Anolis sagrei: one gene and its partners. The protein of the gene in region 2 interacts with the protein of the main gene of each other region in a pairwise test. Links are inferred from orthologs where the notes say so. Each region holds a gene or a part of one and is shown on either strand. Other genes may lie near its edges. The genes, in order: RNF183, GOPC, VTN and DPYD.

Region 1 (5,498 bases), on a different chromosome or scaffold from region 2:
GGAGGAAACCATGAAAATGAACAAAATCTGGTTACCAGTATTTAAAAATTAAAATCAGGATAGTAAATGAACAGCACATGGAGGAATCCTTTGTTGGGAGATGTTAGCTGGCCCTGATTGTTTCCCTTGTGGGATTTTCTGAGTGTTGCTGTTTATTTACACTTCTGATCTTACAGTTTTTTAAAAATAAATAAATACCGGTAGCCAGATTTTGTTCATTTTCATGGTTTCCTCCTTTTAGAGGAATTCCAGACATGAAACAATCAGAGCCAGCTGACACCTTCCCACAAAGGATTCCCCAAGGCAGAAAGCAACCAGCCTTTGAAGCTGCGAGCTTATTTAGTGCTAATCAAGGTGGCCAATTGCAACATTCACACTTGTCTCGTGCAGACAAGAGTTCTTTCTCCCACAGATATCTAAACCTCACTTGCCTAGTTTCCAACAGAACCTCAACCTCTGCTATGGATGTGGGTGAAATGTCAGGAGAGAATGCTTCTGGACAGCCCAGAAAACTCATAGCAACCCAATGATTCCGGCCGTGAAATCCTTCGTCATAGGATTTCCTATGTCATTGTCCGCACAAAGGACTCCTTGAGTGGTCAGTGTAGATGTGCTCGTAGTTTCCTCATTCCGATCGGATCCACTCTCATAGACACATCATGTAAAACGACAAGACAATTCCCATTCTCACCCTGAACCGGTGAAGAAATGGTTGTTCCAGTAGATAAAGAAAATAAAAAGTGTGACGACGATCAAGATGAGGGCCATCAAGTAGGAGAAAAGGCGAAGCTGCGGGTTGCAGGCACACGCCCGTAATGTCCGATGCTCCGGAAGGCTCGGGGTCACCGTTTGGGTTCTTTCGGCGTCCGAGGATTCGGTGCCCAGGTCCAAGGTGTAAACCCTCGGCTGGCGGAGGAAATACCGGCTCTTGCGTTGGTCCTTCAGGTACAACTGCCTGCCTTCTAAGATAATCTGGTTGGGCTCCAGCCGAAGCCAACGCAAGACGGCTCCGTCAGTGGGCAGCGCGGTGACCACTTGGTCGGGCGAGAGCTGGGTGGGGTGGCGACATAGTGGGCATTGCAGGCAGTGTGGGTCCGACGCCACCAGGCTCAGGTGGGCCAGGCACTCGATGCAGAAGGTGTGTTGGCAGCGGAGGAGCTTGGGCGTCCGGAAGGCGTTGTCGAAGGGGCTCCAGCAGATCGGGCACTCGGATGCCAACCCGGTGGCTTGTCTCTGAGCCATGCTTTGGATAGAAGGCGCTGTCTTTACACTGCCTGGAAAGAAACCAGGTTAGATTCAGAAGACAAGTAAACAAACCCACATGAGGTGCATCTACATCAGGTATGGGCACACTTTGGTCCTCTGGGTATTTTGGACTTCTCACAATTGCTAACAGCTTGTGTTATCGAAGGCTTTCGTGACCAGAATCACTGGGTTGCTGTGACTTTTCCATGCTCTATGGCTATGTTCCAGAAGCATAGATGTGCCCACATCTATAACAGGCATCATCAGAGGTTGTGAGGTCTGTTGGAAACTAGGCAAGTGGGGTTTATATATCTGTGGAATAATGTCCAGGGTGGGAGAAAGAATGGGGGAAATGTTGCAATTGGACACCTTGATGAGCATTGAATCCCCTTGCAGCTGCAAAGTCAATAAGTGAGGGCATCTGCATAGAGGTCTCTTGCAAATGAGGCAAGTTGACTCTCAGATAGATAGATAGATAGATAGATAGATAGATAGATAGATAGACCGACCTGTGGAATGATATCCACGGTGGGGGAAAGAATTCTTGCCTGTTTGAGGCAAGTGTGACTGTTGCAATTGGCCTTTGACAGCCTTGTAGCTTCAAAGCCTGTCTGGTTGCTGCCATGTGGAATCATTTGTTGGGAGTTATTAGCTGAGGGCCAGCTAATAACTCCCAACAAATGATTCCACACAGCAGCAACCAGCCAGGCTTTGAAGCTACAAGGATTGATTCTTGTCTGGGCCAGCTAACACCTCTCAACAAAGGATTCCCCCAGGCAGGAAGCAACCAGGCCTTGAAGCTGCTAGGCTATTTAATGCTAATCAAGGTGCCCCCAGGCAGGAAGCAGCCAGGCCTTGAAGCTGCTAGGCTATTTAATGCTAATCAAGGTGGCCAATTGTAACATTCTCACTGGCCTCCGATAGACAAGAGTTCTTTCTCCCACCCTGCACATTATTCCACAGGGGGATATCTATCTATCTATCTATCTATCTATCTATCTACACACACACACATACACATACACACTCCACTTGTCTTATTTATTTATTTATTTATCTATTTACAACATTTATATGCTGCCCTTCTCACCCCGAGGGGGACTCGGAGCAACTTACAAGATATATATACATACAATATATTATATTATTACAAAGTAGAATATCAGTATTATAAAATACTATATTGTACTATACCATTATATTGTAATATTATTAGTAATATTACATGTTATATATATATATATATATATATATATATATATATATATAATATTGTATTATTATTATTAGTAGTAGTATTATATTGTATTGTATTATAATATTTATACCTTATAGTATAAATATTATATTATATAAATATTTATATAATATGTGTATATATAAATATTATATAAATATTTATACCTTACCTCCAACAGACCTCTGAAGATGCTATTAGCCACAAATGCAGGGGAAACGTTCAGGTGAGAATGCTGCTGGAACATGGCCATACATTCCACAACTATATCAACCCCACTTGTTTCCAACAGACTTCACAACCTCTGAGGATGCCTGCCATAGATGTGGGTGAAATGTCAGGAGAGAATGCTTCTGGAACATCACCAGACAGCCTGGAAAACTTGTATCACCCCAGCTGATAGGCTGTTAGGAATGGTGCAAGTTGAAGTCCAAAACACCCAGAGGGCCGAAGTTTGCCCATGCCTGATCTACAGTGTTGAATGAATGCGGTTTGATGCCACTTCGACTGCCGTGTTTTGTACCTTGATGCTAAAGAGTGCCTAGGAGCTGTAGTTTTACAACAGGGCGATGGTGCCTCCTATTATTCCATAGTATTGAGCCATGACGGTCAAAGTGCTCTCAAACTGCATTCATTCTGCACGATGAGATGGTATCACCGCAGGCCTCTGGAAAAGAATAAAGGAAAGGACTTCCTCCAAGGACGTGACAAATGAGGCTGTGACACACAACTTGTGTGTACACCTCAGTTTTATGGGATCACGGGGCAAGAGTCCCACCCTTTGACATTTCACATAGATACACAAGACATAGGCTGCCAAGAGTGCGGTCAAGGTGGCAAATGGTGTTTGTTGAATCCTACGATAAAGGTGATAAAGGTGGTCCCAGTGGTGATTGGCATACTGGGTGCAGTGCCTCAAGACCTTGGCCTGCACTTAAAAACAATCACCGCTGACAAAATTACCACCTGTCAGCTGCTCGGATCTGCACGCATTATTCGCTGATACATCACACAGTCCTAGACACTTGGGAAGTGTCTGACGTGTGATCCAATACAACAGCCAGCAGAGTGTCTGCTGTGAACTCATCTTGTTGTGTTTCAAATAATAATAATAATAGTAATTTTTATTTCTTGCCCGCCTCTCTTCAAAGTTCGAGGTGTGTTTGCTTTGGCTCCTTACTAAGATTGCGTTATTACATGACTCTACTCTGCACCCTAATTTTGGAAATGTAATTTATCCCAGGTAATTGGGCTCCCTGGTGGTGCAGCGGATTAAACCGCTGAGCTGCTGAACTTGCTGACCAAAAGGTTGGTGGTTCAAATCTAAGGAGCAAGATGAGCTCCCACTGTTAACCCTAGCTTCTGCCAACTTAGCAGTTTGAAAACATGCAAATGTGAGATCAATAGGTACTGCTTCCATGGGAAGGCAATGACGTTCCATGCAGTCATGCAGGGCACATGACCTTGGAGGTGTCTATGGACAACGGCAGCTCTTTGGCTTAGAAATGGAGATGAGCACCATTCCCCAAAGTCAGGCACAACTAGACTTAATGCCAAGGGGAAACCTTTATTTTTACTAAAGGTGAGTATTAGATTCAAGTAAATATGGTATGTGGGTCTCTCCAAGTTTTGGGGGGGGAAAAGGATTATATGGCTAAACGCCGTCACACTTTTCCAGCTTTACAACCCACCCTGAAAGAGACAGAGTGTCAGAGCTTCATCCTACCTGCATCAGGTGTGGAGGAGACGACTCGGAGTGTGTGCAATACAGCCGAACGTGAGAGCGTTTGCTCTCCCAGGGTCGTTCTCAGGAGACTTTGTCCCTCGCTCGAGGCGCAGAGTTCTCTCTCCTTTGCGAGCTGGGTATTTACTGCCGCCCAAGGAAGCAAAGGCAACCAGGTGAAGCCAATCCTTCCCAGCTTTTATGATTATAATCATTGCTAGGAAAGTCACTGGTCTGTTATCTGATTTCGAAAGCTAACCAGGGTCAGGCCGGCCCAATACTTGGACGCACTTCTGTAGCTTCTTGGCAGAAAGCAACGTGGTAAGAGGTCAAGTAAAGCTTTCCCCTTGACATACGTTTAGTCGTGTCTGACTCTGGGACTCTGGTGCTCATCTCCATTTCTAAGCTGAAGAGCCGGCGTTGTCCAGAGACACCTCCAAGGTTATGTGGCCTGCATGACTGCATAGAGCACCGTTACCTTTGTGCCGTCGCACCTGGGGGCTATAGATCTTAGTGAAAGAAACATGGACGTTGCATCTTTTCCCCAGGGGATTGCTTCTTCTTCTTCTTTTTTTTTAATAAACAAACAGTTTATTGTTTAAAAAATACATAGAAGGTATATAGAAAAATCAGGTATAAGAAAGTAAGGTATGCAATCCAAAAGGGTCAGCACTAGGTTGTGATAGCCATGTATAAATATGTGAGAGGAAGCCACAGGGAGGAGGGAGCAAGCTTGTTTTCTGCTTCCTTGCAGACTAGGACGCAGAACAATGGCTTCAAACTACAAGAGAGGAGATGCCATCTGAACATGAGGAAGAACTTCCTGACTGTGAGAGCCGTTCAGCAGTGGAACTCTCTGCCCCGGAGTGTGGTGGAGGCTCCTTCTTTGGAAGCTTTTAAACAGAGGCTGGATGGCCATCTGTCAGGGGTGATTTGAATGCAATATTCCTGCTTCTTGGCAGAATGGGGTTAGACTGGATGGCCCATGAGGTCTCTTCCAGCTCTTTGATTCTATGATTCTAGGTGATAACCAAACAATACAATTCTCTCTTATAAAACCAAGGGTAAAAAAATAGTTTCAAAAATGCAAAGGCAGCTTAAGTCCACAAGCAGAAGATATGTTTAGCAAAACCTAAACTGGAATACAAAACAAACTGGAATACAAAACATCCTTGAGAGTTCCAGTTCTCTAAAGGAGGGCAAGAAGCAATCCCCTGGGAAAACTCCCAGGATACTTAAATCTAAGACCAAGGCTTGAAACATGAACCATACCATTCAGGCCTAGCTTCTAAC
Region 2 (7,602 bases):
AGATAAACTTTAAAGCATTCTCTCCTCGGCCTTGTTGCATTCCAAGCAAAAAGGTTGGTGTTGAAGATGGGGGTGAAAGAGGAGGAGATTACTTTTGCTGGACTTTGTAGCCCCTTTCAAATAATTGCACTTAACATTTATTTTCCTAATAGAGTTAAGGATGTTCAATCAACAAAAATATTTTGAAAAATGGAAACTTGTACTAGTCCAAAAATAGTGTTGAATTAGCACAAGTCCAATACCATTTGGACTTGTAATAGTCCAACATTGGACTTGCATTAGTCCAAAAAATAACTCCACATATTTTTTTAAGTGGCATGGATAGAAAGGAGGAAATTTCCACTGGTGCATCAGGTGTATATGACGATAATCTAGTACATGTGGAGAAGGAAAGTGCCAGTTCCTCAGTAATTCAATATTATGTTCCCAGTAATGAGGAAATCTGATTTCCTCACAGCAGGTGCACTAGGTGGCTTTGTTGGTAATCCAGTGAAGTATTGCCCTGGATAAACCAAAGCTGACATCTAAGCTGTCTCAAGGGGACAGTGCATAGTTCCGTTAACTTTTCAAAACATATCACAGTGTACTTCATTTTATCATCTGTTATTTGGCTTATAACCCACCTTTCCACCAACACTGGTAATCAAGGTGGCTGAAATAATAAAATACTCATCTAAATTAAAGCAAATTCAGCAATAAAAACACAGCAATAACAATAAATGATAATTTAGTTGGTTAGCGGTCCCTACAGCCAATAAATAACTGAAATGCCAAAGGGCTTTCTTTCTACCAACAGAAGGACAAAGAAAAGAGAGAGAGCATGCCGCTTTCAACAAGGAATGGCCATTGTGAGATGACCTACTCTTCCCCAACAACTGCCCCTCTCATGGCTCATAGACAATGGGCACATCCCACTGGAATCAAAATCTGACCAGGTTTGTATGAATGAATGCTGCCTTTCATGTAGCCTGGCCCAGATTGTTCAGGGGGTTATAGGTGAACCATACGTACATCATAACTGTGTCTGTAAATAGCAATATCTGGGGGAAAACACTTATTTTGATAAATTTCTAGAATATTTAAGTTTCCCTAGTCTAACTTTTCAAAGCTTTGGATAGCCAGTGTAGCTGACACACCAAGCGAATCACATTTGGAACTGGCCCTGATCAACAGCTTGTCCAGAAGTCTGTGGCCAAATGGAGAATTCTAAACAGGCTTCACTTAGAGAATGCTGGAGAACAGTGGTTCTCAACCCTTGGTCCTCCAGATGTTTAGGACTTCATTCTTCAGAATTCCCGATCACAAGTTATGCTAGCTGGGGCTTCTGGGAGCTGAAGTCCAAAATATATGGAGAACCACTTCTGTAGAAGACCAATAGGTACCGATCCGGTGGGAAGGTAACTGCGCTCCATGCAGTCAAGCCAGCTACGGACAACACTGGCTCTTTGGATTAGAAATGGAGATGAGCACCAACCCCCAGAGTTGGACACGACTGGATTTAATGTCAGGGGAAAACCTTTTTACCTTTACCTTAGAAGACCAAATGGAGCATGACTAATACACATGGCAGAGCAAAAAGGTGTGATTATAGTCTTCAGAGCTTTCTGGACCATTTGCGATAGGAGGTTTTCACACCATTCTTTAGATATATATTTTTTTGTCATGTCAGGAGCAACTTGAGAAACTGCAAGTCGCTGCTGATGTGAGAGAATTGGCCGTCTGCAACGACGTTGCCCAGGGGACGCCAGGATGATTTAATGTTTTTATCATCCTTGTGGGAAGCTTCTCTCATGTCCCCGCATCAGGAACTGGAGCTGATAGAGGGAGCTCATTCGCCTCTCCCCGGATTCAAACCTGCGACTTGTCGGTCTTCAGTCCTGCTGGCACAGGGGTTTAACCCACTGTGCCACCGGGGGCTCCATTCTTTAGATTAGTGCTACTGAAAATAATGGTCTATGAAGCACTGCTGACCTATGAGATATCAGCTACTGGTCTGTGGCAAGTTTCTAGGAAAGTTTGCAATGATAGAATGGCACATATGATTACAGCCCTGGGTACGTTGGGGAAATGCTGATGTATTACATCAGCTACTTTAGTTACAATTTAGACAGAATCATAGAGTTGTTACCCAAGGGCCACCCAGTCCAACCCCCTGCTTTCAGGAACACACAATCAAAGCACCCCTGACAGATGACCATCCAGCCTCTGTTTAATACCTTACGAGAAAGAAATACCACCACGCTTTGAGGCAGCACTGTGATGTGTGAAGATGTGTGTCACTCCTCTGGTCTTCCAGATCCCTTGTGACACCCATTTTGGCCACAAAATGGAGTGAATTGTTCACATGGAACCTTCCAGAAATAGCAAATCACCATTTTGACAACCAGAAAAATCAAGAGCATTTTTCATCTTCACTCTCTTAAGGTGAACTATACACCCCTGCAACTACAACCCCCAAATGTCAAGGTCTCCAAACTCCACCAGAGCATATTATGTATCTGTGCCAAGTTTGGTCCAGATCCATCATTGTTTGAGTCCACAGTGCTCTCTGGGTGTAGGTGAACTACAACTCCAAAACTCAAGGTCAATGCCCATCAAACCTTCCAATAATTTCTCTTGGTCATGGGAGTTCTGTGTGCCAAGTTTGGTTAAATTCCATCATTAGTGAAGTTCAGGATGCTCTTTGATTGTAGGTGAACTATAAATCCCAGCAACTACAACTCCCAAATACCAAAGGTCTATTTTCCCCAAACTCCACCAGTGTTCACATTTCGGCATATTGAGTAATTGTGCCAAGTTTGGTCCAGATCCATCATTGTTTGGGTTCACAGTGCTCTCTGAAAGTAGGTGAACTACAACTCCCAAACTCAAGGTCAATGCCCAACAAAACCCTTCCAGTATTTTCTCTTGGTCATGGGAGTTATGTGTGCCAAGTGAATGCTCTTTGAGTGAAGATGAACTATAAATTCCAGTAACTACAACTCCCAATAACAAAATCTACTCCCCCCCCCCCAACCCCACCACTATCCAAATTTGGGCATAATAGGTATTTGTGCCAAATTTGGTCCAGTGAATGAAAATCCATCTTGCATATCAGATATTTACAACGGGATTTTGGCCTGTATCAATAGGTATATAGTGTCTATATCAGGAGTCCTCAAACTTTTTAAGCAGAGGGCCAGGTCACAGTCTCTCAAACTGTTAAAGGGCCGGATTATAATTTGAAAAATATATATGAATGAATTCCTATGCACACTGCACATATCTTATTTGTAGTGCAAAAAACACTTAAAACAATACAATAATTAAAATGAAGAACAATTTTAACAAATATACACTCATTAGTATCTCAATGGGAAGTGTGGGTCTGCTTTTGGCTCATGAGATTGGATTGTTGTTGTGTGCTTTCATTTCAGACTTAGGTTAACCCTAAGTGAGGGCCGGGTAAATGACCTTGGAGGGCCGCATCCAGCCCCCAGGCCTTAGTTTGAGTACCCCTGGTCTAGATCCAGGGAAGCCATTCTCCCCCTCTACTCTGCTTTGCTTAGACCACATCTGGAATACTGTGTCCAATTCTGGGCACCACAATTGAAGAGAGATATTGACAAGCTGGAATATGTCCAGAGGATGGCGACTAAAATGATCAAGGGTCTGGAGAACAAGCCCTATGAGGAGCGGCTTAAAGAGCTGTGTATGTTTAGCCTGAAGAAGAGAAGGCTGAGAGGAGACATGATAAGGGCCATGTATAAGAATGTGAGAGGAAGTCATAGGGAGGGGGGAGCAAGCTTGTTTTCTGCTGCCCTGGAGACTAGGATGCGGAACAATGGCTTCAAACTACAAGGAGAGTCCCCCTGAACATGAGGAAGAACTTCCTGACTGTGAGAGCTGTTCAGCAGTGGAACTCTCTGCCCTGGAGTGTGGTGGAGGCTCCTTCTTTGGAGGCTTTTAAACAGAGGCTGGATGGCCATCTGTCAGGGGTGATTTGAATGCAATATTCCTGCTTCTTGGCAGGGGGTTGGACTGGATGGCCCACGAGGTCGCTTCCAACTCTTTGATTCTAGGATTCTATGATTCTGAATTGTCCAAGATAGATGTTAACTTAGTCATCTGTTAACTTAGGACACCCAATGAATTCCTTGAGGCTTTCAGCTCTGTGATTCTATGGTTCAATGGTTCATAACAATAGCAAAATTACAGTTACGAAATAGCAACAAAAATAATTTTATGGTTGGGGGTCACCACAACACGAGGAACTGTATTAAGGGGTCGCGGCATTAGGAAGGTTGAGAAAACCTCAGGTCCTCCTGCTGATTGGGACTTCGCTTCCCAGAAGCCCCTGTCACCACTGCCAATTGCCAGGAATCCTGGGAGTTGAAGTTCTAAACAGACAGAGGACCCAAGGTTGGTTGGAGCCGCCCCTTCAAACTGCGCAGCAGCGCCCCTTGCGGCCGCAGGGGAGGGAGGCAGGAAGGGAAGCTTCCCGACCGATCGATGATTCGGAGCTCGGCCCGTCCCACCTGGCCAGCGGGTCTCCGTTGTGGCAGGCGAGGGAATCGCTCGCTCGGGGTCTCCCGGCTGACAGGAGAGGAGCCGCCGCTCCCGCGCATGCGCCGTGGGGAGTGCGCGAGCGAGCGAGTGAGGGAGTGAGGCGCAGGGAGGCCAAGGCGGCCCGTGGGTCGGTGAGTGGGTGGGTGAGTTGGCGGAGAGGCTTGAAGCACCAGTGGGGCGCCATGTCTGGCGGGGGCTCCTGCGGGGGGGCGGGCCCCGGGGCCTGCGGTGGGGCAGCGGCCTCCTCGTCGGCTTCGTCCCCCGGGGGCGGCGGCGGGGGCGGCCTGTCGATGTTCCGGTGGCTGGAGGTGCTGGAGAAGGAGTTCGACAAGGCCTTCGTGGACGTGGACCTGCTGCTGGGCGAGATCGACCCGGACCAGGCGGACATCACCTACGAGGGCCGGCAGAAGATGACCAGCCTCAGCTCCTGCTTCGCCCAGCTCTGCCACAAGGCCCAGACCGTCTCCCAGATCAACCACAAGCTCGAGGTGAAGCTGCCTTCCCTTTTCAGTCTCTCACGCGGGGGCTTCCTCCGAGGAACCAAACGCTTGACACACGCTGCCCACCCGTCCCCCTGATGCTCCCTCCACACCCCTCTTTCATTGAAATACAAACACCAGGGTCGAACCAAGCACCTCCCCACAGATCATGTTAAGTGGCAACAGCACCCTTTAGAGCAGAGCCTTCCAAACTTTTCAGGAGATGGTACACTTTTTTTGCCAACATAATTTTGCGACACAGTAATTCAGTTTTATTCACAAACTGGAGGTTATAACAGGCATGGGCAAACTTTGGCCCTCCAAGTGTTTTGGGCTTCAACTCCCACAATTCCTAACAGCCCACCGGCTGTGGGAGTGGAAGTCCAAAACACCTGGAGGGCCAAAGTTTGCCCATGCCTGTTATAAGAGATAGTGACACATATATAGGTTGTTAATAGTGAAATCTTAGAATCATTGAGTTGGAAGAGACCTCTTGGCAGTCCAACCCCCTGCCAAGAAGCAGGAAAATTGCATTCAAAGCACCCCTGATAGATGGCCACCCAGCCTCTGTTTAAAAGCCTCCAAAGAAGGAGCCTCCACCACACTCCGGGGCAGAGAGTTCCACTGCTGAACAGCTTTCACAGTCAGGAAGTTCTTCCTCATGTTCAGGGGGAATCTCCTTTCTTGTAGTTTGAAGCCATTATTCCGTGTCCTAGTCTCCAGGGCAACAGAAAACAAGCTTGCTCACTCCTCCCTATGACTTTCCCTCACATATTTATACATGCTCCTCCTCTCAGCCTTCTCTTCTTCAGGCTAAACATGCCCAGCTTTTTAAGGCGCTCCTCATAGGTTTTGTTCTCCAGACCCTTGATCATTTTAGTTCCCCTCCTCTGGACACACTCCAACTTATCAACATCTCCCTTCAGTTGCGGTGCCCAGACTTGGACACAGTGTGATTCCAAGTGTGGTCTGACCAAGGCAGAATAGAGGGGTAGCATGACTTCCCTGGATCTAGGCACTATAGTCCCATTTATGCAGGCCAAAAACCCATTGGCTTTTTTCTCCCGCCGCATCACATTGTTGGCTCAAATGTATAGGGACACAACATATTTCATGAACATCTTTCTCTCTCTGAGATATGATTCATTGCTTATTTCACCTTGACCCAGAACTTTCTCATTACATTTGTGTGACACACCTACACACTGCGGCTGACATGCTAATAATATTTTAAAAAAAAAAACTTTATTTGTAGACCACCCTCTCTCCCCAATAGGACTCAGGGTGGTTTACACACAAGAAAGGCAAACATTCAATGCCCAAGTCAAATACAAACATTTTAAAATCAACAGATTAATACCAAAATAATAACCATAAACTTATGACAAAAGAGAAATTGACAGGAAAATAAGGACCAAATACAAATAATCGAATAAAACTAATTATAATGCTAACATAAATTAACCATTTAGACATAAATCCTAGAAAAGGCAATTAAAATGACTATCAAGGTTGTTCTTCTCATATACCATAGCAGCAGTGGAATAGGTTAGGACTGTCCTAATCCTCCTCCTCTTCATACGCCAAAGTGCACATGTGCGTTTTCAAGAGGAGAGGAGGGTGGGTGCTACTTTTAGTTCTTTTGGGAGGGAATTCCACAGATAGGGAGTGATCATGGAGAAGGCCTTCCCTCTTGTTCACACCAACTGCACTTGTGATAGGGGTTGGACTGAGAGGAGGGCTTCCTCTGCTGACCACAGTGCACGGAATGGTCTGTATGGGGAGATATGATTAGACAAATAGCCTGGACCCAAACTTGGACCTCTAACAGTTTAAAGGTCTGCTTTTTTAAAACAATATTTTAATTAAGATTTTCATAAGTAAATAAAATAGATATTTAAATGAGGGAGGGAAGTGATGTGGAATAGGATGGTGTTGGGGAAGGGGGAAAATGAAGAAAAAATGCTTCACAACCCTTCTTTCTTAATGCACAGAATTCAAAATTGACTTCTCACTCTCCAGCCCAAAGCATAATCATCTTCTCATTAAAAGGTTTTACAGGATTCCAAAATACTCCAAAGTTGTCCACATGGGTGGCTGAAAGTGTGACACCTTTGTTCCCTGTGTTTTATACACAAAATTATTTTAAAATATCTTGTATAAATATCCTTATATAAAAAAATCCATCCAAGACACTTCTGTCCCCAAGCATTTTGGATAAGGGACAAATGGGTATTGGGTTTTGTCTTGGGTCATATTATCAAGGTGTCTCATCATGTATGTATGTGCATATGCATATACATATGCAGGTATTCCAAAATCCAAAAAACAAAAAACAAAAACCACTTCTGGTCCCAAGCAGAAGTACCATCTAGCATAGAGTCTCAACTTCTGCCTGTTGAGTAAAGCAGGTAAAGCTTAATCCCCAAAGCCCACAAATATCATTATATTTTCCTTCTTCTTTATGAAAATTGTCTCATGTTTTTAGACATTAAAGATGATTAGAGGTGAATGAAGTTCAAGGGGAAGGAATAAGCAGAGAATAGCTGCCCGAGTTCAGTTCCGGGATGAGAGG
Region 3 (7,021 bases), on a different chromosome or scaffold from region 2:
AGCCCTTGGGGATCTTTGGAAAGTTTTGGCGGGGGGCTTTGAGAGTTGTTGGGACCGGAGGTTTAGCATAGCTGGTAAATCATCAGCAATTGTAAGATCTATCAACGAAAAGGTTGCAAGTTTGATCCCCGGGTTGGCGTGAGCTGCTAAATGTCACCCTACCTCATTGTTTACCTAAGCAATTTGAAAACAGCTTTAGCTGTAATTAGAGAAATTAGGTACCGCTGAAAAGCAGGGGAGGTGTTTTATGATGCCATAAAGAAAGAAGATTAGAAAATGCAGGTTTGGGGGGGGGGGTTGAGAGTTGTTGGGGATCTTTGGAAGACTTTGAATGAGTTTGGTGGGCTTTGAGAGTCTTTTGAGGCTTTTAAGGGTCTTTAGGGGTCTTTGAGGGTGTTTCATGGGTTTTAAAGAACTTTGTTTGGCTTTGGAAGGTTTTGAGGGCCTTTAAAAGGTTATGTGGGTTTAAAAGGTTATGTGGGTCTTCAAGGCTCTTTGTGGGACCAGGGCCGCCCTCCCGCAATGCTCACCTTGGTGTTCCTCTGCCGGGCTTTGATGTCGGCCTCCACGCAGAGGTAGAAGGCGGCAATGCATTGGGCCTCAGGGCGGGAGCTGTCCAGCAACGGGACCAAGCCCTGCAGGTCCCCAGCGGCCCGGCCCTGACTGTGGTCAACGCTGCACAGAAGGGTCTGGGCAAAGCGTCCGGGGTCCAGGGTGGCCACGAAGGGCTCGACCAGGGCCAGGGTCCCCGAGCGCTCCACCTCCCGCTCGATCTCCTTATTGGCGGCCAGAACGGCCACAGCTAGGCAGGCCTGGAACTGGACCCAGGGGTCCTCCTTGGCGAAGGCCAGCGGGAAGAGCCACTCGGGGGCCCGCTTCTCGGCCATCAACCGCTGACTGTGCTGCCCGCCGTAGATGGCGCAGTTGGCCAGGGCAGCCGCGCAGTGGCGCAAGACAGCCGGGTCACTCCAACGGCACCAGAAGAGGATGGCGTCCAGCGCCCCGTCCGCAATCAGCCGTAGGGAGGTCTCCTCGGAGTGCTTGAACATATGCGCCAGGATGCCCGCCGTGAAGGGCGCCAAAGCCGCATTCTCCCGCTCTTTGGCCAGGTTCAGGATCACCCCCAGGCCGATGCGGGCCACCCGATCCCTGCAAAAGAAGCGAGTCAGAGAGTCACATTTCCCCCTACTCTGCGGCAAAGAAGGCCAATGCAATCCCAGTCAACATGAGTCATAGCAAAGCCAAACGCTTTTGGACTCTGGGAGCCCAAGATGTTGACATCAATTTGGCAATCACCAATGCTGCTGGCTCTTCATGCCATCCTGCCAAGGCTCCAAACGGTCCCTTTTCTTTTCACAAGCACTTTTCCCCATGCTCTTGGGAGACATAGAGCACCCAAGGGAACAATAGGAGTGCCGGGGCCTCTTGGCACAGCTTTGGCGACGATCACGAAATGCCACAAGAATGCAGGACGGATTGTTCTGGTTCCTTGAACAAGAACAAAGGCGGGGACGATGGGCTCTGTGGTTTCGCAGGAGCAGAGCTATTTCCTTGTGCCAGGAAGCCCTGCCAACGGGGTCAATCGGCGCCCTTTTGGCTCCAGCTAATGTATTTTCCCAATTATCCTCCCTAAAAGCCGCTGTCCGGACGAGGGCGAGGCAGTCGCTTCGCTCTCCAAGCGTTCCTCAACACAAACCCATTTCCAAATAGATGAGCCACAGAAGCGGATGCCAACTCTGCCCTTTTGCATTGTTCCGTCTGGTTCAGGGAAGGGCAGAGGGAGAAAGTAACTTTTAGAACAGGCATGGGCCAACTTTGGCCCTCCAGGTGTTTTGGACTTCAACTCACACAATTCCTAACAGCCGACAAAAAAAGAGACGGAAGTGTGATGCTGCAGCAGAAAAGACCAATGTGATTCTGCTGTTGAAAGTGATATCTACAAGAAGAGATAAATGCATTCATGAGCTGGAATTGTGATGCTGCAGCAGAAAAGGCCAATACGATCCTGGCAGTTAAAAGAAACACAAACAGAAAAGAGCTGGAGGTGTGATTTTGCAGCAGAAAAGACCAATGCGATCCTGGAAGTTAAAGGAAATAGAAACGGAAAACAGCCGGAAATCTGATGCTGCAGCAGAAAAGTCCAATGTGGTTGTGCTGTTGAAAGTGGTACCTAAAAGAAGAGGCAAGTGTATTCATGAGCCAGAAGTGTGATGCTGCAGCAGAAAAAAAAACCAATGCGATTGTGCCATTGAAAGTGGGGTCAAACAGGAAAGACAAATGTATTCATGGGCTGGAAGTGTGATGCCACAGCAGAAAAGGCCAATGTGATTGTGTCATTGAAAGTGGCACCTAAAAAAAGAGGCTAGTGCATTCATGAGCCAGAAGTGTGATGCTGCAGCAGAAAAAGCCAATGTGATTGTGCCGTTAAGAGTGGCATCTAGAAGAGGCAATAAATGCATTCATGAGCCAGAAGTGTGATGCTGCAGCAGAAAAGACCAATGCAATTGTGGCAGTTAAAAGTGGGATCAAACAGAAAAGACAAATGCATTCATGAGCCAGAAGTATGATGCTGCAGCAGAACAGACCAATGTGATTGTGCTGTTAAGAGTGGCACCTAGAAGAAGTGATAAATGTCAGGATAATTGCAAATATTATATGTATGTTTTTCAATGTGTTAATAATGTAATTCAAGATGGTTTCAGTCATGTTCATTCATGAGCCAGAAATGTGATGCTGCAGCAGAGGCCAATGCGATCATACCATAGAAAGTGGCACCTAAAAGAAGTGACAAGGGCATTCATGAGCCAGAAGTGTGACGCTGCAGCAGACAAGGCCAATGCGATTGTGGCAGTCAAAAGTAGGGTCAAACAGAAAAGACAAATGCATGCATGAGCCAGAAGTCTGATGCTGCAGCAGAAAAAGCCAATGCGATCATACCATAGAAAGTGGTACCTAAAAGAAGTGACAAGGGAATTCATGAGCCAGAAGTGTGATGCTGCAGCAGACAAGGCCAATGCGATTGTGGCAGTCAAACATAGATGCCATTCTTAACGGCACAATCACATTGGTCTTTTCTGCTGCAGCATCACACTTCTGGCTCACGAAAAGAGAAGACAAATGCATGCATGAGCCAGAAGTGTGATGCTGCAGCAGACAAGGCCAAGGCAATGCCGGGGATAGAAATCCAAGTCCTGTTTGTGCCTTGCTCACCTGTTTTCGGCCACCAGGATCTGCTCGAGGAGCCTCCCGGCCTGGCACTGGGTCTGCAGGTTGGGGGACTGGAGGAGGGTGAGGAGCAGGTCCAGGCCTCCCTCCAGCCGGACGGCGTGGCAGAGCCCTCTGGCCACTTCCCGGCCCAGGGCGGGCATCAGCCAAGCCTCCTCCACCAGGGCCAGGATCTCAGCCAAGGCCAATTGCAGGTCCTCTGGCCCGGCGGCCCGCTTGGCTGTGGAGACGGCCTGGTGCAGCTCGGGCAGTGCCCGGTCCAGGGCGGCTTGGATGTCGGCGGCCAAGCCCGGAGAGGAGGCCTCCGGACAGGGCCCGAGACCCTCTGCCCACCAGCCTTCGGGGCGGTTTTCAGGGCCAGACATGGCGAGGCGGCAGAGCTTGTAGGCCGAGAGCAGGAGAGTCAGCCCCATGGACTCAGAAGGATGGAGAGCCGCCGGGGATGCTGCGGGAGGACAAAGCGGGTACCACGGCCTGCCTCTCCTGCATCCCTGCCCGGGTGGTGATGTCACTCAACGATGGGACACGCCCCCTTGGAGGCGGGCTTGTCTCCATGGCAACTGCATCCTCCTCCTAGACAAAGAGTCCTGGGATGATTTGGGGAAGGGTTTTTTGTCTATTTTGCAATTTTGGGGGAGACCTAAATTGCAAAATATATCAGAAATTCACTACTGGCTGACAATTTTCTGTATTCTGTTCCTTTCGCTGCAATTTGAACCCAGGTCCCGCTATAGAGTCGCCCCGGCGGGACCCAGAGATCTCCAGAGCGGATCCGTTAATCCGATCAGAAGGAATCGAGACACAGAGTGATCCCAAGCTTCCAGCGGCCGGAAGGACGGCGCCTTGGACCCCCTTCGGACAGGTCAGTTTGGATCCCCTTTAGGTACCCCGCAAATGTCGACCGCCTCACTTTGTGCTTTGACCTCTTGCCAAATAACACATGGATGATGGGAGTTGGAGTAGTAGGGTGGATTATGGGAGTTGGGGTAGTAGGGTGTATGATGGGAGTTGGAGTAGTGGGGTGTATGATGGGAGTTGGAGTAGTAGGGTGTATGATGGGAGTTGGAGTAGTAGGGTGTATGATGGGAGTTGGAGTAGTAGGGTGGATGATGAGAGTTGGAGTGGTAGGGTGTATGATGGGAGTTGGAGTGGTAGGGTGTATAATGGGAGTTGGAGTGGTAGGGAGTATGATGGGAGTTGGAGTAGTAGGGTGGATGATGTGAGTTGGAGTAGTAGGGTGGATGTTGGGAGTTGGAGTAGTAGGGTGGATTATGGGAGTTGGAGTGGTAGGGCTTCCACGAGGGATTGGGCTCATTGAGTACTCCTGCCATATTTCTACTATTTTGTTGTTTATTTATTTATTACGGCCGAAATAAAACAAAAATACGAAAAAGAGCTGCGTTTCGAATCCAAGTCAACAGATGAAGCGGAGATTTTCCCAGACTGAGCCTTTAATTGGATTAGAGGCCAGGCCTTGGGCTAATTGGGGAATCAGGACTAAATCCCCGCCTTCGTGTTCCCTTTGCCGACGCTCGCTTGGAAAAGTAGTAATTCGTGCCGAATAAAAACAGTTTGATGGTTGTAGATGATGGGATTTGTAGTCCAAGGACATAGTGGATGACTGGGTTTGTAGTCCCAAAGCATAGTGGATGGTGGGGTTTGTAGTCCAAAAGACACAGTGGATGGTGGGAGTTGTAGTCCAAAGACACAGTGGGTGGTGGGATTTGTAGTTCAAAAGACACAGTGGATTGTAGGAGCTCTATTCCAAAGACATGTTGGGATTTGTAGTTCATAGACACAGTGGGTTGTGGGATTTGTAGTCCAAAGACATTTGGATTTGTAGTACAAAGTAGATTGTGGGATTTGTAGTCCAAAAGACACAGCGGATTGTGGGAGTTGTAGTCCAAAGACAAAGTAGATTGTTGGATGTGTAGTCCAAAAGACACAGTGGATTGTGAGAGTTGTATTCCAAAGACAATTTGAGATTTGTAGTACAAAGACACTGGATTGTGGGATTTGCAGTCCAAAGAAACAGTGGGTCTTGGGATTTGTAGTACAAAGACACAGTGGATTGTGGGATTTTTAGTCCAAAAACATTTTGGGATTTGTAGTACAAAGATACAGTGGATTTTGGGTTTTGTAGTTGAAAGACATTTTGGGTTTTGTAGTCCAAAAACAAAGTGGATGATGGGGTCTGTCATCCAAAAACATGGTGGGGTTTGTAGAATAAAGACACAGTGGATGGTGGGATTTGTAGTTCAAAGACAGAGTGGGTGGTGGTGTTAGTAATCTAAAGACCCAATGGATGGTGGGATTTGAAGTCCAAAGACACATGGGTGGTGGGATTTGTAGTCCAAAGAAACTGTGGATGGTGGGATTGGTAGTCCAAACAAATTTTGGTTTATGGGAGATCCCTTGGGTGGATTGCAAATGAATTGTGAGCCAGGTTTGTGATGCAGCAGCGGAACAGTCGAAGGCGATCCCAGGTCCCAAACTAGAAGGAAAGAGGGGAAAGCAAGATGTTTGAAAGGAAAATTGGGATTCCTCTTGAGCGTGGGCTGCCAAATCCTGCCCAATCTGCCTTTTTGACCCTTTCCTCCCAGAAATGGGAGGCCATATTAATGAATAACTCGATCCCATTGATCCGGGGGCAAATTCCATCCAGCATTTGCCCCAAAATTGCCGTTTCCCCCTCAGCCCTAAGGTGAAGGGGGGCTTCTGGGAATGCAGCCCCCCCCCCTCTGTTTGCTTTCCTTCCTCCCCAAAGAAAGCTGGCCTGAAACAAACTCATCCCGGGTTCAAATCCTGGCCTTTCCTTTTAGGAAAGAAGCAGGTCAGTCAGTTCCAATAGGTTGAACATTCAGAGGAAAGGCTGGGAGGAGAAGAGAGTCAAGAGACGGCTCATTCCTACATACAAGAGCTCTCTTTCTTTCCTTCTGTCCTTCTTTCCTTCATTCCTTACTTCTCTGCCTTTCTTTTTCCTTTCTTTCTTTCCTTTCATCCTTCTTTCCCCTTTTGATTTTCCTGATTCCTTCCTTCCTTTCCTTCCACCCTTCCTTCATTTTTTCGTTTTCATTTTTCCTTCTTTCCTTCCTTCCTTTCTTTCGTTCCATTCTTCCTCCTCCTTTTTCATTTTCATTCTTCTTTCCTTCTTCTTCTTTCCTTCCACCCTTCCTCCCTATTTTGCTTTCATTTTTCCTTCCTTCCTTCCTTCCTTCCTTCCTTCCTTCCTTTCCTTCCATTCTTCCTCCTCCTCCTTTTCCTTTTCCTTCCTTTCCTTCCAGTCTTCCTCCTCCTTTTTCTTTTCCTTCCTTCCTCTTCTTTCCTTCCTTTCCTTCCATCCTTCCTCCCTTTTTTGTTTTCATTTTTCCTCCTTTCCTTTCCTTTCCTTTCCTTTCCTTCCCTTCCTTCCTTCCTTCCTTCCTTCCTTCCTTCCTTCCTTCCTTCCTTCCTTCCATTTTTTCCTCCTCCTCCTTCATTTTCATTCTTCCTTTCCCTGCCTTCCTTCCCTTCCCTTCCCTTCCTTCCTTCGTCTCTTTTTTGTTTTCATTTTTCCTTCCTTCCTTCCTTCCTTCCTTCCTTCCTTCCATTTTTCCTCCTCCTTCTTCATTTTCATTCATTCTTTCCTTTCCTTTCCTTCCATCCTTCCTCTCTTTTTTGTTTTCATTCTTCCTTCCTTCCTTCCTTCCTTCCATTTTTCCTCCTCCTTTTTCATTTCCATTCTTCCTTCCTCCTCCCTCCTTCCTTCCTTCCTTCCTTCCTTCCTTCCTCCCTCCCTCCCTCCCTCCCTCCCTCC
Region 4 (7,028 bases), on a different chromosome or scaffold from region 2:
TTGCAGCCCAAGAACAAGCAATTAGAACAAATGCCATCAAAGTCATAACTGAAAAGTCCACAACAGATTCCAAGTGTAGACTCTGCAAGGAAGCAGATGAAACGATGGATCACATACTCAGTTGCTGCAAGAAGATCACACAGATGGACTATAAGCAGAGGCATAATGCTGTTGCTCAGATGATCCAAGGGAACTTGTACCACAAATACCATCTGCCTGCAACAAAGAACTGGGAAGATCGCAAGCCTGAAAAAGTTACAGAAAATGAACACATAAAACTACTCTGGGACTTCCAAATTTAGACTGACAAAGTTTTGGAGCACAATACTCTTGATCCTATGAGCATGGAAAAAAAACAAAGTATGGATCATCGATGTTGCAATCCCAGGTGGCGGCAGAATTAACAAGAAGCTGCTGGAAAAGCTTATACAATATGAGGATTTAAAGATTGAACTACTAAGAATGGCACAAGCCAGGAAAAATGATCCCAGTGGTCCCAAGCTGACATTTATCCACCTTTCTTCCCAAGAGATTTGTACGGTTTTTCAGAGGCAACGCTGATGGAATCGTTCCAGGAGTTGAGTATGACGTCCACATTTCACAGGTGTATAGCACGGTTGGGAGGACAATAGCTTTATAAACAAGCACCTTGGTTTCCCTACGGATGTCCATAGGGAGATACATCAGAGTCCTAGACACTTGGAAAGTGTCCAATGTGTGATCAAATACAAAAACCAGCATAATGATCTTGTTTGCCGTGTACTAATCTTGTTGTTATTATTATTTTAGTCCCCTCTATGGATCTAAGTCCCTTTGTTTTCAGGAAGATAAACTATATTATCTGTCAAATGGTTTGCTTGTAACATTGCCATTTTGAGCATATAGGTTGAGCATCCCTAATCCAGAATCCCAATATCCAAAATACTCCTCAATCCAAAATTGTCCACAAGTGGTTGAAATGGCGACATCATGGTAGTCCCTTGCCTGCATCCTATTGTGTAGTCCCAAATACAGCAGGCCCATTGAATCAATTGTTGGATTATAAGTCAACATATCTTTAAATCCCATTGATCCAATGGGGCATTTTTAGTTGCTACTAAGATTAGGTTTGAGCTAGAATGGAAAACAGAGTGATGAGTTAGTGGTGCATGAATGGAAGAGCAACTTAGGATCCACACTGGTGAATGTGTGAGGCAGACATTAGACATGCAATGTAATGAACAGTCTTAAAATTGATTTAGAGTGGCCTAGTCTTAATAATGATCATAGGTTTTTGATTGTTTATTTTATTTGATTAAGCATATTTATGATTTTGTGAATTAATTAATTAATTAAACAAATAAGTCATCAGAATTATCATGAGTAAGGTGACAAGGCTGGGAAAGACAAAAGCAGTAGAGAGAGAAAAAGGTAAACGACATGGCAATGGTTTGGCTCAAACAATAAAGCCATTGCCCTTGAGTTTGCCTGGCTCTTGATAACATGGCCTTTCAGAGGTCTCTCATTTATAGGGTCACTATAAGTCAAAGCTGACTTGGAGGCACATAACACCAGCCACGTCTTAATAAACCTTACTTGGCATTAAAACTCACCGTATGACCCTCTCTCATTTTAAACCACATTACTCATTGGCTGTGAAGGCTACTTGGAGAAAAACCCTATGTGTCATTTCCCGAGTTCCTTGGAAGAAGGATGGGACTTAATTAAGACAACACTGTATAACACGATTTTTGTTCCTGGGTTATAAACATCATTTCCTAATTGGTTTTATCATTAAAAACATGGAAAAAGTTTATTAAACTGCAAAAACTTTGTTTTTGCGGGACATCCTGCAGCACATTTTGCTATAGTTTTTCAGTGAATATCTCATATGTATAGTATATGTCTATATAATTGTAATTTTTTCTCAAATAAAGATAAAAAACAAATTTAAAAAATGACTGATAAAATGCAGGTCTATGTGTGAATCATATATATCTATATCTATGGCTGGATGGCTCTTTATCAGGGGGGCTTTGATTATGTTTTGGACTGGATGACTTTAAGGCAGTATTTCTCAACCTGGGGGTCGGGACTCTGGAAGGGTTGCGAGGAGGTGTCAGAAAGGTTGCCAAAGACCACCAGGAAACATAGTATTTTCTGTTGGTCATAGGCGTTTTGTGTGGGATGTTTGGCCCAATTCTGTTGTTGGTGGGGTTTAGAATGCTCTTTGATTGTAGGTGAACTGTAAATCCCAGTAACTACACCTCCCAAATGTCAAGGTCTATTTTCCCCAAACTCCATCTGTGTTCGTATTTGGGCATATTGAGTATCTGTACCAAATCTGGTCTAGATCCTTCATTGTTTGAGTGCACAGTGCTCTCTGGATGTAGGTGAACTACAGCTCCAAAACTCAAGAACAATGCCCACCAAACCCTTCTAGTGTTTTCTACCGGTCATGGCAGTCCTGTGTGCCAAGTTTGGTTCAATTCCATCGTTGGTGGAGTTCAGAATGCTCTTTAACTGTAAGTTTACCATAAATCCCAGCAACTACAACTCCAAAAATGACAAAATCAATTTTTTGAGTTAGTAGGTGTCTTGTGGCCAAATTTGGTGGCAATTTGTCCAGCGGTTTTTGAGTTATGATGTCACTCAAAATGAACAGAGCATTTATATATAGATAGATAGATTTTAAAATAATTATGTGCATGTAACAAAGAATGTGTACATTGCACCATAGAAAGCCAAGGTGCCACTATTTCAGCCACCCATGTGGCTATTTTCTGATTTCGGGGTATTTTGATAGGCCTGGCAAGGGATGCTCAACCTGTAATTACATTGATGGCTTGTTATTTAGCTTCTTCCTTCTTACTGTGTTTTTACTCCCTCATTGGGCCCTTCCACACAGCCATATAAACCAGAATATCAAGGCAGAAAATCCCACAACATCTGCTTTGAACTGGGTTATCTGAGGCCTCTTTCACACAACTGAATAAAATCCCACATTTTCAGTGTGGACTCAGATAACCTAGTTCAAAGCAGATATTGTGGGATTTTCTGCCTTGATATTTTGGGTTGACTATCTGGAAGGGCCCTGGGTCCACACTGCCATATATTCCAATTCAAACTAGATAATGTGGGATTTTATTCAGCTGTGTGGAAGGGGCCATAGGGTGCCTCTACCTACATAGTGGAATTAATGCAGTTTGACACTACTCGAACTTCCGTGTCTTAAGGCTACGGAATCCTGGGAGTTGTGGTTTTACAAGGCCTTTTCTTTCAAAGAGTGCTGATGCCCAGGTAAACTACAACTCCCAGTCTTGAGTCATGGCAGTGTAAAGCACTGTGAAACCTTACACATTGAGAAATTTCCCTATTGGTAAGCAGTCTCTTGTATCCTATGGAGTTTGATGCAGAGCAATAGAATCCCATGGAAAGAAATTGTTTTAAACTGGATCACTGTCTCTTGTATCTTATAGGCTTTGATGCAGAACAATAGGATCCCATGGAAAGCTATGGTTTTAACCTAGTGCACTGTCTCTTGTGGGTTTTTATCCCATGGAAAGAAGTGCTGACAATATAAGAGGGGCGATTCTCTACTCTTAAAGGGACAGTCACCCATGCATTCCCCTCTCAATGTGATGAGACTACAACTCCCAAGATTCAGCTTTGTGGATGCAGTATTGTTACTTGGATATTTTGCCGGTTGCTTGAGAGTCCCTGTTGCTTGAACTCCGGTTAACTGAGAGTCTACTTGATTTTTGTGCCCTCCCATCCACCTGTCTGTTGAATGCAAAGGTGGGTTATAAATTGAGAAAGGATCACAACGACGTGTTTGGGGGGAGGCATTCCTGCAATGCGCTCGAAGTCAGCGAAAGGCACTCTGCACATGCTCAGAGGCATGGCGGGTTTTCCCCTTCGAAAGGTGCGTCGCCAGCCCTGGAAGTAACACCCCCGCCTCACCGGAGCTGAGAGCCTTCCTCCAGATCTGATGCCAAGGTCCATCCAAGCCCTCCTCCTCCCCTTCCCTCCATAGCCTCCGCCCACTATGGGGGCGTTGCTGTTCCGCTCTCGTCCCCTTCCGTCCGCACAAGCCGAAGAGGTAGCTGATCCGCCATGGATAGTCTCCTTAGCCGGGATCCCGTGGATATTGAGGTACCCATTCGCCCAAGCGGGTTCCAGGGGGGCAGACACGCCTGGAGGTGGAGGCTGGCCAGCCAGCCAGAAGCAACTCTGGCCCAAGCTTTTGGGAAGCTTGTTTCTTCCTGGTTGCAACTCTGCTTTGGAGCAGTTGTGGGGGATCCAAAAGGGTGCCTCTGAGGGCGTGCAAAGTGCCTCCCTCTCCAGTCTCCTAGGCTTCCTTGTGTGTCCCCAAGTGTGTGGCTCAATGCCAACCCAAGTGCTTCTGAGGCCCCTTCAACACTACCATATAAAATCCAGATTTTATATGGAATATATGGCACTGTGGACTCAGATAACCCAATTTAAATGGGATATACGGCTGTTTGGATGGGCCCTCAGGTACCTTCTATGATGACATATAATCCAGATTATCAAACCAGGTAATCCAGATTATCTGCTTTGAACTGGATTATATGAGTCTACACTCAGATAATGTGGGATTCCCTGCCTTGATATTCTGGGATATAGGGCTGTGTGGAAGGACCCATTAGTCCACACTACCATATAATCCAGCTCAATGTGGATTTATACACCTGTGTGGAAGAGGCCATATAACCCAGAATATCAAGGCAGAAAATCCCACAATATCTGCTTTGAACTGCATTAATCTGAGTCCACAGATAATGTGGGATTTTCTGCCTTGATATTCTGGGATATAGGGCGGTGTGGAAGGGCCCTGAGGCTGCATCTACACTGCCTTATATCCCAGAATCTGATCCTGGATTATCTGCTTTGAACTGGATTATATGAGGATGGAACTACACTGGCATATAATCCTGATTATAAAGCAGATAATGCATATTATCTGTTTTGAACTGGATTATCTCAGACTACACTGGTGTATAATCCAGTTCAAATCAGATAATCTGGATTATCTGATTTGATAATCTGGATTATATGTCATCATAGAAGGCACCTGAGGGCCCTTCCAAACAACCGTATATCCCAAAATATCAAGGCAGAAAATCCCACAATATCTGCTTTGAATTGCATTATCTGAGTCCACACTCAGATAATGTGGGATTTTCTGCCTTGATATTCTGGGATATAGAGCTATGTGGAAGGGCCCTGAGGCTGCATCTACACTGCCCTATATCCCAGAATATGATCCTGGATTATCTGCTTTGAGCTGGATTATATGAGGATGGAAATACACTGGCATATAATCCATATTATCAAAGCAGATAATCCACATTATCTGCTTTGAACTGGATTATCAGAGACTACACTGCTGTATAATCCAGTTCAAAGCAGATAATCTGGATTTATCGTGCAGTATAGAAGGGGCCTGAAGCCCCTTGCACACAGCTATATAACCCAGAATATAAAGGCAAAGAATCCCACAATATCTGCTTTGAACTGGGTTATCTGAGTCCACATTCATATAATGTGGTATTTCCTGCCTTGATTTCTGGGATATAGTACTGTGTAGAAGGGCCCATTAGTCCACACTACCATATAATCCGTGGATTTTACACCTGTGTGAAAGGGGTCATATAATCCAGAATATCAAGGCAAAAAATACCTCAATATCTGCTTTGAACTGGGTTATCTGAGTCCACACTGCCATATATTCAAGTTCAAAGCTCACGATGTGGACTTTTTTCAGTTGTATGGAAGGAGGCTGTGTCTATATTGCTAAATAATCTGGGATAAAAAATGATCTGGCATATAGGGCAGTGTAGACCTGGTCCGAATGCAGTTTGATACTACTATTTGCCTTGGCCGAATGCCATGAAGTCCTGGAAGTTACAGACCCCTTCTACACAGCTGTAGAAAATCCAGATTATCTGATCTCTTCTTAGGCTGGATCTACACTGACATATAATCCGGATTATCTACTTTGAACTGGAATATGATTCTCAGTCTACAGTGCCCTTGACTGTTGTCATTCTGCAGCTCTGGGCCCTTCCACGCAACCATATAACCTGGAATATCAAGGCAGATAATCCACAATACCTGCTTTGAACTGGATTATCTGAGTCCAGACTACCATATAACCCACTTCAAAGCAGATAATGTAGATTTTATACAGCTGCCGTGGAAGGGACCTCTGAATAAGGCCTTTACTTCCAAAAATTGGTTCAGTTGAGGGCTGAGCACGAGGTATTCCTTTGAGATGATTGTGATATGGAAAGTTCTTTATGGGGTTTTTCCAAGATCCCTTCCACACAGCTGAATAAAATCCCATATTATCTGTTTTGAATGGGAAGCAGATAATGTGGGATTTTATTCAGCTGTGGACTCAGATAACCCAGTTCAAAGCAGTTATTGTGGGATTTTCTGCCTTGATATTCTGAGTGATATGGCTGTGTGGAAGGGCCCTTAGTTAATACTGCTAGATGTTTTGAGGAAGCTTCCACACAGCCCTATATTCCAGAATATCAAGGTAGAAAATCCCACAATATTTGGTTTGAACTGGGTTATCTGAGTCCACACTCCATTAATGTGGGATTTTCAGCCTTCATATTCTGGGATATAGGATGCGTGGAAGGGCCCTCTATTGCCAAATAAAATTCAGATTACTTGCTTTGAACTGGATTATATGGCAGTGTAGACTCCACCAAGTTGGATTAATTTAATGAGCCACTTTATTTGTGGAAGCAACAGGATCCCAGAGAAACATGCCCAGCTCTTTAAGCTGCTCCTCATAGGGCTTGTTCTCCAGACCCTTGATCATTTTAGTTGCCCTCCTCTGGACACATTCCAGCTTATCCTGTTCCACCTTTAAGGAACTGCAGGGGGTTGCAGCTGGAAACAGATAAACTGGAAAGACGTTCTTCCTGCTGACTACTTTCAGAGTGAACTGAACTCTGCTATATGATACTTTGGATTGGGCCCAGTGAACTTTGCAGTTCAAAACTTGG

Evidence for each region.
Region 1: the proteins of GOPC (region 2) and RNF183 interact in binary tests that used the Homo sapiens proteins (3 or more experiments, as listed by UniProt). The two-hybrid records come from large-scale screens. The link is inferred for Anolis sagrei from reciprocal best matches to the Homo sapiens genes GOPC and RNF183.
Region 3: the proteins of GOPC (region 2) and VTN interact in binary tests that used the Homo sapiens proteins (3 or more experiments, as listed by UniProt). The two-hybrid records come from large-scale screens. The link is inferred for Anolis sagrei from reciprocal best matches to the Homo sapiens genes GOPC and VTN.
Region 4: the proteins of GOPC (region 2) and DPYD interact in a two-hybrid assay, tested with the Homo sapiens proteins (2 studies listed by BioGRID and IntAct). The link is inferred for Anolis sagrei from reciprocal best matches to the Homo sapiens genes GOPC and DPYD.

The regions. Positions count from the first base shown.
Region 1 is NC_090031.1:5,857,874-5,863,371, reverse strand, and holds RNF183 (E3 ubiquitin-protein ligase RNF183), read right to left. Parts: upstream 1,251-5,498; 5' UTR 1,243-1,250; coding exon 688-1,242; 3' UTR 531-687; downstream 1-530. UniProt on the Homo sapiens protein: Acts as an E3 ubiquitin ligase catalyzing the covalent attachment of ubiquitin moieties onto substrate proteins. Triggers apoptosis in response to prolonged ER stress by mediating the polyubiquitination and subsequent proteasomal degradation of BCL2L1.
Region 2 is NC_090021.1:89,459,655-89,467,256, forward strand, and holds the start of GOPC (Golgi-associated PDZ and coiled-coil motif-containing protein), read left to right. Parts: upstream 1-4,730; coding exon 4,731-5,036; intron 5,037-7,602. Other genes in the region: nephrocan-like, read right to left, coding at 4,518-4,732.
Region 3 is NC_090031.1:32,100,338-32,107,358, forward strand, and holds the start of VTN (vitronectin), read left to right. Parts: upstream 1-4,004; 5' UTR 4,005-4,087; intron 4,088-7,021. Other genes in the region: NAD(+) hydrolase SARM1, read right to left, coding at 531-1,149, 3,211-3,638. UniProt on the Homo sapiens protein: Vitronectin is a cell adhesion and spreading factor found in serum and tissues. Vitronectin interact with glycosaminoglycans and proteoglycans. Is recognized by certain members of the integrin family and serves as a cell-to-substrate adhesion molecule.
Region 4 is NC_090024.1:148,570,424-148,577,451, reverse strand, and holds the start of DPYD (dihydropyrimidine dehydrogenase [NADP(+)]), read left to right. Parts: upstream 1-4,019; 5' UTR 4,020-4,095; coding exon 4,096-4,134; intron 4,135-7,028.